3 linked regions of the Oryctolagus cuniculus genome follow. The protein of the gene in region 2 interacts with the protein of the main gene of each other region in a pairwise test. Links are inferred from orthologs where the notes say so. Each region holds a gene or a part of one and is shown on either strand. Other genes may lie near its edges.

Region 1 (4,284 bases), on a different chromosome or scaffold from region 2:
GAAGGGGGTGGTTGTTAACAAATGAAATAACATTTTCCCAGATGAATGTGGATGTTCAGATGAGAACAATAGTTAGAGAAATTAAGGAAGTTGAAAACTAAGAAACAGCAGGTGAGATGTGAAAGAGAACTTGCTATGCATACTGCCTCCTTCCCTGCCCACTCCTAGTGAATTTCAGCCCTGTTGGGGCTCATCAGTAGGTCTTCATCCTTGCATGCCACCTTCATGGGCCACACTGTGTGTAAGGAAAGAGCTTTTTCTTTTCCTACATTGATTTGCCAGAGAGGGAATAGGATCTAAGGCATGCTACAAGAAACATGCTGAGAAGTCTGTCATTCTTGAATAAGCTAGCAAATGACTCGTAAGACTGCCTTTTTCAGCACTCTGAACCAAAACAATTTTCTAAATAAGAACCCTTCAGTGTTAGGAGAGGTCCACTCTCAAGTAATTCATCACCAAAGTTCTTAGGAAATAGACACATAATTTTTTGCTCCCGTCCTATTTCAAGTTGCAATTTTTTTTATCTTTAAAGCAGTAAATATGTTGATTCAAACTCACCCAGCAAGTAGGAAAGAGAAAATAGCACTTGGCCTTTAAATCTTCAGAGGCCAATTTAATGACAGGTTCAGCCTGTTTAATGACAGGATCAATACCACACCCCTGTTTTATTATGTTTCATTATTACTGCATAAATGTCCTTTATTACTCATGAAAAATAAAAATCAAATACTTGCCGAGCTGGGTTTAAATAGGTAAGAGTGCAAACAAAGATATACTGTACAAATATCAAACAGGGATCTCAGATTCTTTTTTTTCTTTTTTAAATTTTATTTAAGTTATACAAGTTTCATATATTTCTTATACACAGATTTAGGTCAGATTCTTAAAATACATACTGTGCCAGGTTGCCCCTCTCGATTTTGGACTAGGTTTTGGGGGAGTATTTTCTATTTTGCTTTCTTTTGCTTTTAGGATTGTGCTCATAATTCAAACATGGAAAGAATCTAAAAAGTAGGGTTCTCGGGATTTTTTTCACTGTCGTCCTGGTGGAAATAGGAAAACACACCAAAAGCAACGCTAAAATGCAAGATGTGAAACCCGTGAAGTTCAAGCACTGCTTGAGGATGAACTTAACCTGCACGGCAGGTGCAGGGCTGTCACGTTCAGGTACTCTAGTAGGGCTGGAGGTTTCTTCACGGCCTTCCTCGGCCACTCCATTGCACAAGGAGCGACTAACAGCAGCCCTCTGCTCCGCCTGCTGGGGATTTGGAGCGGAGCGCTGTGGGGCAACGTCTCCGAATCGCTCCGGGCAGCACGCAGATGGCGCTCCCGCAGGCTCCCGGCGTGGCGACTGGCGCATGCGTCGCAGAGCCTCACGGGGACGCGCCCCCGTCGGCTGTGACGTCATCGGCTGCGGGCGGGGCTGCTGCGGAGCCAGAGGGCCGGTCCCGCGGGCGCCGGCGGGACAGTGGGCGGAGCCTAAGGGGGTGGGGCGGGTGCAGCCCCGCCGCCCAGCTGGACACGGAATTCATTCCCGGCTGGCTCGCAGCTCTGCCGGAGTGAGGCCGGGCAGCGAGGACGCCGAGAAAGCGCCCGCTCGGCTGCGGCTGCGGCCGCGCGAAGGGTTTTTCCCAGGAGTGAGCTGAGCGCGGCCGCGGGTTCGTGGGCGCCAGAAAAAGCCTGGAGCTCGTCAAGGCCGTGCGGCCATTGCATCGGCTCCCAAGTCGCACGAGGACGGCGAGCGGGGACAGAAGCTGCGCTGAGCTCTCCCGGGGAGGGGAGAGCGCGCCGAGGCGGGGTGGCCAAAGAGGGAGGAGTGGCGGGCCGCCCCGAGTGTAGGGGCCGTGGAATGCGAGACGAGGACAAGGGCATGCTCGGTGGTGCAGGCAGCGATGCGGGCCTGGCCAGCGCCGCGGCGCGGGGCCAAGTGGAGAAGGTGCGGCAGCTCCTGGAAGCCGGCGCGGATCCCAACGGAGTCAACCGCTTCGGGAGGCGCCCGATCCAGGTAGCCGGGGCCCCGGGGCCGCGCCGGCAGGGGGCGCAAGAGCGCGGGGCGCGGCCGCCGCGGGTCCGAGCTGGGGCCGAGGTCGCGGCCGCAGCCTGGCCAGCTGCAGGGGGAGGCCAGTCGTTAGGCTGGTTTTTACGCAACAAAAAAATCCTCAAGAAAGGGGTGGACTAACCCACTGCTCCGCTTTGGTTTTCTTTTGAACGGCGGGGAAATAGCAATACCAGGGTACTGCTATTGGAAAACGGTTTTAAACGATGCTTATCTTGTTGCAAAAAGAAATCGAAATCTATGCATACGTGGGATTTTCAAAAAGTTCGTGGAAAATGCGTGTTGGGCAAAAACAATAGATTTCAAAAAAATTTTTTGCACCAAAATAAGCTTGTGTTTAAATTCTGTTTTCCAGTAACTTTTCGAATTACCACCATACTTGCTCTACCGTCTCGTGATTAAAGATGCAGAGAATGGAGAGAACAGGGGGAAGGAGAAGTTATTTGGGGAGGATGGATCTTTTTGTCTCCTTTCAGTGACAAAGATGTTATAAGTTACACAATCTATGTTGGATTTAAGAAATTTACAATATCATAATGCATGAGAAAAAATTAGTGAACTTTTAAGCCTCCATGTGGAATCCTTTATATTTTCTCTCATAGGAGTGAACTGAATTCAAAGAGACGAGATCATATTCCTCAACAACACTCCTTAATTCCTTTTATGTTAGTGTTTCTTGAGTGATTAAAATATGCTGCTCCATATTTTTATTGTTTTAACGACTATACTCAGCAATTCAATTACAAAACCAATTCTGCAGCAACTATTAGATTCTTTCTGATTGGTACAGGACATTCACAAGTAGTCTCTTCATCGTTAAAATGCACTTATCAGTGTTTTGGTATTAATGCTGCTATTATTAATTAGTACTGACATTTTTTACATTCCTTTAAAATCTAACAGCATGCTTTTGAACTTTACTGTGACCCTTATGGTCATAGTCACTATTCTCCTCACTGCCACTCTCCAGAACTAAGCTGATATTAAAGGATCTCATTAATAGTGTAGATTTTTAAAGAAAATACATGTTCATTCCATTTGACTTTTTAGAAAAGTAAAGTTAGGAAGATTTGAAAGAAGCAAAGATATTGTAAAGTGATTCTTAAAGACTTAAAATGATATTAATAGTTATAAAAGCAAGTTTTCTAATTTGTGTTTTTAATTTACCATTTACTGAGACACTAAGAACCACTCCCTCCCCTTCTCTCTATATAAAATACTTTGTACATCATTTGTAAGAATGATTTATGTTTATCATAGTTTCTGAGGAAAAAAATAAAAGTTTTTATATTCTTGAAACAAGACTAAAGGTGTACTGCCTTTCAATTGTATTAACATTTTGAAGCACATAAATTCACAAGAGCAAATAAGTTTTTTGGCAGTTATCAAAAATTGTTTATTGTTAACAAAAATATGAAAGCAAATGCTTACATAATGCACATATATATACAGATGAATGAATGCTATAGGCTTATTCCTCTGAAACATTTTTAGTTATGCATCATTTCTGATTTCACTGATAATGTACAAACTATACAGCAAAACATTTACTATCTAATGTAAAATCATGTAGGAGGTAAATATGTATGTTAATTTTACAGTTATATTTATATTACACTCTAAATTTTAGTCTGCCTCTATAACATTAACTTAAAAGGTGAAAAGCTGTGAACCATTAATTCAAGATAAGTCATTTGTTTTCGTCGTTTTATAGAGTATGCCTGACTTGTTTTACTTTGTCCTCTAATCTCCAAGTTTGTCTCGGATTATCAGATTACATTTGGTTTATGAGCAGACACATGTGACAGAAAAAACAGGAGCCTCTTACAAGAGAATTACGTTGTTTCTTATTTTCTCCCCTAAAACATTACTCCAACCTCCCCCCCACACACACACACAAAACAGGTGACTACCTAACAAATATTTTTAAACCTAGATTATGGTGCATGGGCAACAAGGAGAATAAAACTTTATAAGGCATTCAAGTTTAATTCTGCTCATAAATCACTTAACCAGCTAGATTCTCATGTTGCAGTAGAAATCGATCATTGATTTTGCCCTCAGTGTAGATATTATTATTTTGCCGCGTGCTCTCACGTCTGGAGAGTAAGATGGAATTTAATTTAATCTGAATAAGACTGGGAGGAGGTGGGTGACCTGCGTAGCATAAGAGGAGGAAGCCGACCCCTGGGGCTGGTCGCACCCTTGCTTTTGATCCAGGTGTAAGT
Region 2 (6,081 bases):
CACACTCACTCACTCGCTCGCTCTCTCTCCAAAGTACCAAGTCAGGCCCGGCAGCTGCAGGCCGATTACATCACAACTCAGCCGTGCCTGGAACCCACTTTCCACGGGCAGCATTCAAGGTCAGAGAAATGAAATGGCAGCACAATTGGTCAGCAGCTTCTCTTCTTCTGGAATTCTTCCAGGTTCTTGAAACAGACAGACAGACAGACAGACAAATGAACATAAAGCTGCAATCACTCTTGCATTGATTTCGGAACAGTAAACTAGGTGGTTTCCTTGGGGAGGCAGAGCCCAACCAGACGACAGCAGCCGAAGGTCTCGCGACAGCCATCCTCAGCAGCTCTGCGGGGCTTGCTTGGGGACCCGTCAGCCACCGTGGTGTCCTCCGGATGGCCAGCTCCGGGCGGCCGCTGGGCCTCAGGCTGTGTTCAGCTCTGAGGCGCTCTGGCTGGGCGGTAGGTGGGGATCCAAGCTCTCCTTGCCCCTCTCCAGGTCTTGGAAGTACGGGTGGGCCAGGGCGCTGTAGGCAGATATTCTTTTGGCTGGATTGAAGGTCAAGCACTTCTGCAATACACAGAAAACATAATCGACCGCCGTGACACCTGTCAACATGAGTGATACGCAGACAGCGCTGCCTTCTTCCTGCGTGTACCACGAGGACAATGAGCGTCTATTTCAAGAGCCTCGTTAGGGTACCAGCACAGCACTCTGTGTCATGTCCCCTTGGTATAAACTGCCCCTTGGGAAAAGACTTCTCCCCTCCGCCAGCACCGCCCACGGAGCACCCAGCAGGCGACAGGCACTATCTGAGGAGCAGGGGCCACCCCGTGAGCCAGGAGCTCACACGCAGCAGTGGAGCTGCAGCAGCGTCTCCGTGTCTCTCTGGGAAGCAGCGTCCACTGCCATGAGCGGCCACGTAAGATGCCCACAGCGCTTGTCCTCCGTGTGACGTCATTAGGCTTAGGCAGGCTTCTTCCACTTCACCTGGGTTCCTGCTCACCCAACCCTGTCCTGACCGGTTTAGGGCCTCTTCTAAACCTCTGCAGAAAGCTGCTGTTCTAGAGAAACACGAACAGAAAATTCTGCCTAAAATTTCAGGTAAATTCCCGAGCTCCTGACATAGGAGGCACATGGTTTTTTGTTTTTTAAATGTTTATTTATTTAATTTTTTAAATGAAAGATTTACTTATTTGAAAGGCAGAATGAGAGAGAGGGAAAGGGTGTGGAATGTGGGAAGAAAGAGAGAGACACATATCCATGGAGAGAATATCTCCTGTCTGTTGGTCCATTCCCCAAATGGCTGCAATGACTGGGACTGGTCCAGGCCCAAGCCAGGAGCTCAAAACTCTACCCAGGTCTCCTATGTGTATGGCAGGAACCCAACTACTTGGGCCATCATCAGCTAGGAGTTGATAGGACTTGAATCGGTCCCTTGATACAAGATGCCAGAGTTTCAAGTGGTGTACCACTGTACCACAATGCTGGCACCTAGTTAGTAATTTTTATTTATTTGAGAGAGAGCGAGAGCGAGTGAGCAAGAGAGCGAGAAAGCAAGAGAGAATAAGAGTGAGAGAGAAAAGGGGGTAAGAGACAACATCCATCTGCTAGTTCACTTCCTAAATGCCTACAACAGTCAGAGCTAGGCCAGGCCTGAACCAGGAGCCAGGAACTCCATCCAGGTTTCCTCTATGGGTTCCAGAGACAGCCATGATCTGCTGCCTCCAAGGTGCACTCCTGGGAGCTGGATGGGAAGTGGAGGCGGACGTGATTCCAGGCACTGCAACAGGGGACGCAGGCAGCCCATGATAAGGCTTAACTGGCTGCACCACAACACCTACCCTGGGGCAACATGCTGGAGCCTGAGTTCTGTCTTTCCAGAATCTAAGAAATAGAAAATCAGGCAGTGCTGTTAGAAAAGGCAGGACACAGCAAAGAGAGAAGAATCGTGGGATGTGATCCGGACACAGGGAGGTGTTCCTGGAGGGTTGCCTGCAAGCCCTTTCCCCACAGCCCCTCTGAGGGCTGGGTGCAGGGAAGAGGGTGGAGAGAGGGAGGACTCCAGCCAGCTGGGAAGCCCTGCTGCACTTTGTCCTATGGAGATACTGTTAGCAAAGGCAGTGACCTCCTATTGCTGCTCTGCTTGAGGAAGAAGGAGGCTCTTTAAATTGTGTAGTAATATTGTTCAATTTAATTTACTTCCCAGTTTCTTAACTGACTTATAAAATGAGCTTTTGGGGAGGGGGGGGAGCTGATGCTGTGGCTCAGCGGATTAACGCGCTGGCCTGAAGCGCCGGCATCCCATATGAGTGCCGGTTTGAGTCCCATCTGCTCCTCTTTTGATCCAGCTCTCTGCTGTGGCCTGGGAAAGCAGTGAAAGATGGCCCAAGTCCTTGGGCCCCTGCACCCACGTGGGAGACCTGGAAGAAGCTCCTGGCTCCTGGCTTCGGATTGGCACAGCTCTGGCCATTGCGGTCATTTGGGGAGTGAGCCTGCAGAATGGAATACCTCTCTCTGTCTCTCCTCTCTCTGTGTAACTCTTTCAAATAAATGAAATAATTCTTTAAAAAATGAGCTTTTGGAATCATATGTGAGTCAAGAGTTGACTATTAGGATAGATTGAGTGCGTAACTTTTTTTGTAACCACATATTCTCCTTCTTCTCTCCCCTCCCCCTCCATGCATGTGTATGTACACATACGCATTCTTTCCTCCATTCAGGTTGGCCCTGGCCAATGGGACGTGGACAGAGGCAGGGTGCTTCTTCCCAGGCCTTGGCTCTCAGGGGCATCCCGTGCTTCTGCTTGCCCTGCTGGCTGCCTCTACCTTCCGAGTCTGATCTCCGTCCTGGGCCCCAGAATGGGACACGCGGAGAAGACGGCACTTGACCCACAGGCTGACGCAGGCATCAAAACCTGCTGATGACTGCTTACCGGGCTCCAGGCACCAAGAGCAGCCCGGCAGGTGAGCTCCTCCACCTACTGTTCTGACCTCCAGCTATAGGAAATCACTTAATAAACACTTCAATCACTGATAAGCATACTCGGTAGTTCCTTTGGAAAATCATTTTCCTAAGCATGTGACTATTTAAGGAAAGGCACCCCAAATGACTCCCAAATTGCTAAAGGTAGCACGAAACTGTAAACCAGGAGACATCAAAGGACGCGGGACTTTGGTAAAGAAGCACATATCCAAGTGAGCCCACAGCCTTAGAAAGGCCGCTCCCAAACACAAGTTCAAAGGCGGTGGCTTTCAAGAGTGTGGATTGGAAAGATGTCCCGGGATCGACAGCCACTAGTAGCTCCAGGTGCGGGAAGGGAACTTATAGGGGGACTGCAGCCCTGGGCTCTTGTGGCGATGCAGGTGATGGCTGCAGCAGTCGCTGCACGGGTCCTCCTGCTGCCACACAGCCTGGACAGGGCAGGCGTCTTATCAGCACAGGGCGAACTTACCAGAAGCAGGTCTTTGCCTAGTTCATCGATATCTGTTACGAACTTCTCAATCGGCTGGGCAGATTTGGAATGAAACGCTTGCCTGGGAAGGGCAACATCTCTGGGCCAGTCCTCTTCTCCTGGGAGTCCAATGACGCTAGGAAAGAACCACAGGTGCACGTGAGCACTGGGCACTGCCAAAGCTCTTCCCTCAGGGAATGCTAGAGGACAGCCGGCTCTGAGGGCCAGGCAGGAGGGCGCAGGAGCCCAGGAAACCTTCACGTGGTGAGCCAGGCTCTCTCCTTCGCCTCTGTCCTACTGCAACAGGGCAGGTCACATGCTACCGGGGAAGCTCCCAGGACTGTTAACTCCACTGGGCAGTGACGAGAGATTATTTTCGCAGCTGACACCAGATGTAAAAGATGATGGAGAAATGGAAGAGTGCATTACTTGTGTGTAGGCCTCAACACGGGACTTACTATGTTCAGAGGAGACCTGCCGGGGTGTGTGTGTGTGTGTGTGTGTGTGTGTGTGTGGCTTTATGCCCAGGAGTGTTGCATCCTGATGGGACACTCCAGCCCTGACATGCTTCTATGATGCTCATTCAACACGGCTTATCAACACATCGACTGGGTTGCATTTCTGACCAAAGAGTGCTTCTCCACAGAGTAACTACATATATTAGAATCCAACAACAAAAATGAGGCTAAAAGATACATTAGTCTTAGGCACAGATTATTTTATAAGGGAAAGTATATGGCATTCTGAAAAACAAATTAAAAAGACTACTATTCATGTTCCCCCTGAAAACTTTTCTGGGATCAGAAAGCTGCAGAGAACAGCAAGTGAAAGACAACACAGATTTTGGAAATAGGCAGATGTGGGTTGCATTCTTACTGGCAGGTAAGGACACATGCCTTAGCACCTATGATTCTTAGTATCTTTATGACAATGGCAACAACTGATGGCTGTTATGAGGATCAGCGATAATTTACATAAGCTGCATAGCACAGTTTCCAACACAGTCAATATCCATTCATTATCCATTATGATCACAATCAGAAAATCATCCTGTTAATCCAAAATGCAGAGGAAGTATATCACCACTACACTGAAAACATGAACTGCTTCAATTCTGCTTATGTGTAACTTCAGGTTCTTCGGACACATTAGTAAGCTGGTGGCCCTGCACAATGTATACAATACATAGACATGATTTAAAATGGATACATGGCTGGGTAAGTGGGTTTGAGCAAGGAAAATCAGGTGATGCAAGAATCTGTATCTCAGACTCCGGATAACTCTGAATAAAAGAAAAATTCAGTGTGGTGGACAAGAGGCACAGCTAGTCCAACGCTGGAGGAGACTTCTCGGAACCGTGGGAAAGCAAGGGTGCTGGCGTACGGCACATTCTTCTCCTTGGACGGCACTCACGAGGACTGAGGGCCTGGAGAGAGTGCTGTCCTGAACGTAGTTCCAGGTTTCAGGAGGTCCTGGTGCAACTGTCACGGGGTTTCCACAGCTCTGTTTCCCGTTCCTTTACCCCCAGAGAGCCCAGGTCAGACTTCACTCGGGAACAGCAGATGCCTCTGTCCTAAGTGCACCTGTCACTGGGGGCTGGGGCAGGACACTGCGACTGTGCCTCTGCCGGGCATCCTGAGGGCCGCATTGTCCAGACAAAGACTCGTGCACACTGTCACTGGAATCAACGAACAGAAACAACAGTGTGACCAACACACAGATATGCTTAACAGCAAAGTCTGTAACAGGAATAAAAAGAAAACGGAAGTGCCGCTACCAATTATGAAAAGAAATGCACTTGTCTGTCTGGAAAAGATAGTACAGAGAGGAAGAAAAGAGAGTCTTTACTAAAGACTTTGAAAATTTTTCTTTGATTCCTTTTTAGCTCTTTTTATATATTTTTCATATCATCAGCAGAAATTGATATCTAGAAATTGATAACTCGAAGTATCAAAGCAGTTATCAAGAAATATCAAAGCAGTTATCTAGAAATTGAGTCTTTTTATTCGCAGCTTTGAATATATTTAGATGGAGCTAAATCAACTGAAGGCCAAAAGCTTTCATTGAAACAGCATGTCTCTATATGGATATGTGGTATGTAATTATGTATTACTTATGGATATGATCACTTATATAAACTTACATACATAAAACTTTTAAGTCCATCACCATTGAGTCTTTTTTTTTGACAGGCAGAGTGGACAGTGAGAGAGAGAGACAGAGAGAAAGGTCTTCCTTTTTGTTGTTGGTTCACCCTCCAATGGCCGCCAAGGCCGGCGCACCGTGCTGATCCGAAGGCAGGAGCCAGGTGCTTCTCCTGGTCTCCCATGGGGTGCAGGGCCCAAGCACTTGGGCCATCCTCCACTGCACTCCTGGGCCACAGCAGAGAGCTGGCCTGGAAGAGGGGCAACCGGGACAGAATCCGGCGCCCCTACCGGGACTAGAACCCGGTGTGCTGGTGCCACAGGTGGAGGATTAGCCTAGTGAGCCACGGCACCGGCCAGCATTGAGTCTTGTAAAGGCTTCCTGAGACACACAGGTCAGGGGTATTATTCCCGTTTTATAGATGGGGAAGCTGAGGAATGAAATGAACTGTCAAGGTCACACACAGTGAGTTCCATTACAGAGCCCAG
Region 3 (4,203 bases), on a different chromosome or scaffold from region 2:
TTCTAATAAAGAGACCGATTCTCAGAGAGAACATGTGACTTGTCTATACACTGTCATTTCTCTAGTTACCCACGTCCTTGGTATCTCCTAAGTTGGGAGGACCCCAAGGGAGGAAGGGATCCCCATGCGTCCTCCCGTCCGGAACATTTCTGTAAGTCTGTGGTCTGCCTCTTAGTCATATGGAATCCAGCCTCTGAGAACACTGCACAGCGACCCAGCGTCTGGGAGGTGAGAGAAGTGGCAGCGGGGAGAGCTTGCAGCCTGCGTGGTCAACTCCTTGAGGCAGGAGCCAGCCCCCACCCCCATGTTTGCTCCAAGCAGAAACTAAGGCCACACAATCAATTTAATGACAAGGTGAGGCCTTGAATCCATGGCCTTTCTGCCCTGTTGCATTTCTGTATTAAGCTGGTTAGACCGAAGCTTTTCAGACTTCCAAGTGCACAGGAATGCAGTTAAAATGCAGATTCGGACGTGGCTGGCCGGTGGTGGGCCTGAGAAACTGCGCTTCTCACCGGCCCAGCCTCCCCCCTACCCCCGGGGTGGGGGTGGGGGTGTGGAGGGGGTGCTGATGGTGCCGGCCCCGCAGTGCCGGATTCCGGAGCCGGAGGGCCTGGGACTGTCTGCCTGATGTTGCGGTTCCTGTGCCTCCTTTTCCTCAAATTTATAAAATAAGCCTAATACCTATCTGATGGTGTTTTAGCAAAGGCTTTCTAAGTTACTGGGGCCGCCGCCTGCGACCCCAGCATTCCATAGGAGGCTGCTCCACTCCCCATCCAGCTCCCTGCTAATGGCCTGGGAATGCTGCGGACTATGGCCCCTGCAACCCACGTGGGAGACCAAAAACGGAGTTACAGGCTCGTGGCTTGGCCTGGCCCAGCCTCAGCTTTTTGCGGCCATTTGGGGGAGTAAACCAGCGGGTGGAAGATCTCCCCACCCCCGGTCTCCCCCTCTTTCTGTAACTGCTTTTCAAAGAGAGTTAAAAAAAAAAAAAGATTGAATACGTTATTTCACATGAATGCTTCAAACAGCATTCATTAAAAACTATGATTACATTCCGTGGAGCAAGCGGCTGTTGAAGCTGTTTGACGAATGACTGAATGATTAACCTTTGCAAAGAAGTCGCTTCCTGGGTGACTGCAATCCGAGAAGCAAAATGGAAAGGCCCATTGACGGGGAAAGAGGCCCACCTCCCAGAAAGTTCACTCGGCCGGGCGGTCGGGAGCGCCCGGGCCCGGAAGCCGGCCGGCCTGCGCCGCGCGGGCCAATGGGGCCGCGCCGGGGGCGGGGAGAGCGCCCCGCCAGCCCTTTCCGTCTGGGGCGCCGGCGGCCCCGCCCCTTGGAACGTTGCGACGTCCGAGCATTCCACGGTTGCTACATCGTCGCGAGGGGCGGGGCGCCTGTCAGGGAAGCGGCGCGCGCGCGGGCGGCGGGCGGGCCGGGGCTGCACCGCGCAGTGCCAGCGCCAGCGCCAGCGCCAGACCCGTGCGCCACGCTCTGCGGTCCGCCGCCCGCGTCCCCGCTCGCGACTTCGCGCTCCTGCCCTTGCCCGTGCGCTGTCTTTGAGAATGGAGTTGCTGTGCTGCGAGGGCACCCGGCACGCGCCCCGGGCCGGGCCGGACCCGCGACTGCTGGGGGACCAGCGTGTCCTGCAGAGTTTGCTCCGCCTGGAGGAGCGCTACGTGCCCCGCGCCTCCTACTTCCAGTGCGTGCAGAGGGAGATCAAGCCGCACATGCGGAAGATGCTGGCGTACTGGATGCTGGAGGTACCGCCCGGACGCCCCCCACCCCACCCTCGCTGCCCCCCACCGCTGGACCTGCGGGGGCCGCCCTGTCGGAACATCTAGGGCCCCACGCCGCTCTGCAAGATGCTTCGGCGGCCGCGACCCTCGGGGCCTGGCCTTTCCGGCTGTCTCCGCTGTGTCCCCGTCCCCTCCCTGACCCTGATATGTTCCTTCCGACCGGCACGGCCGGTTATGGGCACCCTGGCCCAGCCTCTGCTCGAGCCGGCCGTCCCCTCCACGGCCCCTGCTCCCCCCAACCCCCACCCCGCCCGGTCTTCTCGGTTCCTGCGTGTGTCGCGGGGTGCTGGCTGGGGGTGGGGTGGCGCGCCCGTTCCGGCCCGACGGGGAAGGAGACTGTGGGAGACGGCGGCTGGAGCCTCCTTCCTTCCCCTTGGGTGTGTGCGGTGGGTGGTGGTCGCCGGGGGCAAGGCTCTCCTCTGGCAGCCACGGGCGACCCTTCCTGCCCCTTCGCCTCGCTGTGGGGGAGGGGAATCACTGTTTGGGATTCCTCCCAAGGAAGGGCGCCTTTGCTTTGCCACCCCCTCCAGGGCAGAGGGGAGGAGGCGACTCAGAGGAAACGGGCGGGGGGGGGGGGGCGGCGTCGCCGTGGGGAGGGTGCATCCTCTCGTTACTGGTCCTTGTCACTGTAAGCCGCTTACCCTCTCTCGTGGCCGTGCGCCCCATTCCACTTCCCTTCGGCGCCCCCACCCCACCCCACCCTCTTCCTGCCGCCTCGTTTCCCATGCTCCTGCCCCGTCCGTGACAGTTCGTGCTCCCCCAGGTGTGCGAGGAGCAGCGCTGTGAGGAGGAAGTCTTCCCCCTGGCCATGAACTACCTGGATCGCTACCTGTCCTGCGTCCCCACCCGAAAGGCGCAGCTGCAGCTCCTGGGTGCGGTCTGCATGCTGCTGGCCTCCAAGCTGCGCGAGACCACGCCCCTGACCATCGAAAAACTGTGCATCTACACCGACCACGCTGTGTCTCCCCGCCAGTTGCGGGTGCGTGTGCAGCTGCCCCTGCGCCCCCCACCCCCACCCCCGCACAGGCTGTCTCCCCACTTCCCAGGGAAAGGAAAGCCAAGACTCCAGAGGCTTTCAGCCCTGCCCTGGGGAGGGAAGGGGTTAAGGCATATGGATGCTTTTCGGGAAAGGAACCGGGGTGGAACTGCAGATGGGGCAGTGTGGTGTGGTGGTCAGGGTGGCTTCTGCCCTGGCCTCCAGGGGGTGCCACTGCTTCCTGGTCTTTCCCCCAGATAGCAACAAGTGAAGCTGCGTGTCTGCACTCACTAGTTCTTCGCCTCTGGGTTTACACAGTCACCATGAGTTATTTATTGGCAGCACAGGGCATGCCTGCACACCCCCACTGGACTGGGGGTGTGGAATGTGCTCCTGTGGGGGAGGGGGCTGCCTGCGGTGAGCTTTTTTTTTTTTTTTTTTTTTTCCTCCTCCTGTGGACTTTGTGATAGAAAAGCCTCCCGGAGCAGATTAAAGCCAGGCCCTGGCCGCTCTGAGGAGGTGTTCCTCCCACCTTCTTTCCTTCCCCTCGCGTCCCCAGGGAGACAGTGCCTGCCCTAATCCTCCCTTCCTTGTCCTCGTGCTGAGGAACTGGAGCAGCTGCTTTGGGCCTGGTGGACACATCTCTCTGCCTTTCCCCCTTAGCCAAAGGCCCTTGCCCAGGCAGGGAGCTGAGCTGCAGCTGCTTCCCATGTGATAACGATGCCCCCTCCCCCGGCCCGGCCCTCTGACCAAGGTCTTTCATAACCCAGTGGGGAGTTGCTGTCACTCCTGTGGGTTGGGAAGTGGCTCCCCGGGCCCCTCCACTGGTCATCGGTTCTGCTTGGCCTGGGGAGGAGGCGGGGGAGCTGTTTGGATCTGGAAGAGGTTATTTTAGGGCCCACGGATCATCTCCTAAGGGGCTGGGGGAGCGGGTGGGGGGAGCTGGCACCTTGCTCCGTGGCCAGCCAAGTCTTCTCCTGACCCTGAGAGGAGTCTCTGGGCCCCATCTCCCGGGGAGGAGGGCAGCCAGTAGGCTGCTGTGATTGGCTGGCGGGGCAGCAAGGGTACTGGGGCCCCCGACTGCTGCGAGTCGAGGAACTGGATTCCTCTTCCTGCCAAGTAGCTCTGAGAGATGGGAGCAGGAGGCCGGAGTTGGGAGTCCGGGAGGCCCCACAGCTCTTTGTGATGAATCTGGTAGTTTCTGGCCACTCTGAAGGTGGAGCCGGTGTCCAGGGCCAGGGAGCGAGGTCGTTTTGGAGGGCTTGGGGCTGGGAGATAGAAGGGACCCCCTTGCTAGTGTAACCACGGGGATTGTGTATGTGCCTGGGTGTGATGGGCTTTTTTTTTTTTTTTTTTTTTTTTTTTTAAGAGCAGGCCAAGAGGGCTCTTCTCTGATTCTGTGTCCCTGAGCTAGGAGCGGAGTGCACA

The links.
Region 1: the proteins of CDK6 (region 2) and CDKN2B interact in binary tests that used the Homo sapiens proteins (3 or more experiments, as listed by UniProt). The link is inferred for Oryctolagus cuniculus from reciprocal best matches to the Homo sapiens genes CDK6 and CDKN2B.
Region 3: the proteins of CDK6 (region 2) and CCND3 interact in binary tests that used the Homo sapiens proteins (3 or more experiments, as listed by UniProt). The link is inferred for Oryctolagus cuniculus from reciprocal best matches to the Homo sapiens genes CDK6 and CCND3.

The regions. Positions count from the first base shown.
Region 1 is NC_091432.1:185,075,825-185,080,108, reverse strand, and holds the start of CDKN2B (cyclin-dependent kinase 4 inhibitor B), read left to right. Parts: upstream 1-1,484; 5' UTR 1,485-1,849; coding exon 1,850-2,005; intron 2,006-4,284. UniProt on the Homo sapiens protein: Interacts strongly with CDK4 and CDK6. Potent inhibitor. Potential effector of TGF-beta induced cell cycle arrest.
Region 2 is NC_091447.1:43,168,255-43,174,335, reverse strand, and holds part of CDK6 (cyclin-dependent kinase 6), read right to left. Parts: intron 3,585-6,081; coding exon 3,449-3,584; intron 565-3,448; coding exon 418-564; 3' UTR 1-417. UniProt on the Homo sapiens protein: Serine/threonine-protein kinase involved in the control of the cell cycle and differentiation; promotes G1/S transition. Phosphorylates pRB/RB1 and NPM1.
Region 3 is NC_091436.1:127,963,374-127,967,576, forward strand, and holds the start of CCND3 (G1/S-specific cyclin-D3), read left to right. Parts: upstream 1-1,403; 5' UTR 1,404-1,565; coding exon 1,566-1,763; intron 1,764-2,562; coding exon 2,563-2,778; intron 2,779-4,203. UniProt on the Homo sapiens protein: Regulatory component of the cyclin D3-CDK4 (DC) complex that phosphorylates and inhibits members of the retinoblastoma (RB) protein family including RB1 and regulates the cell-cycle during G(1)/S transition.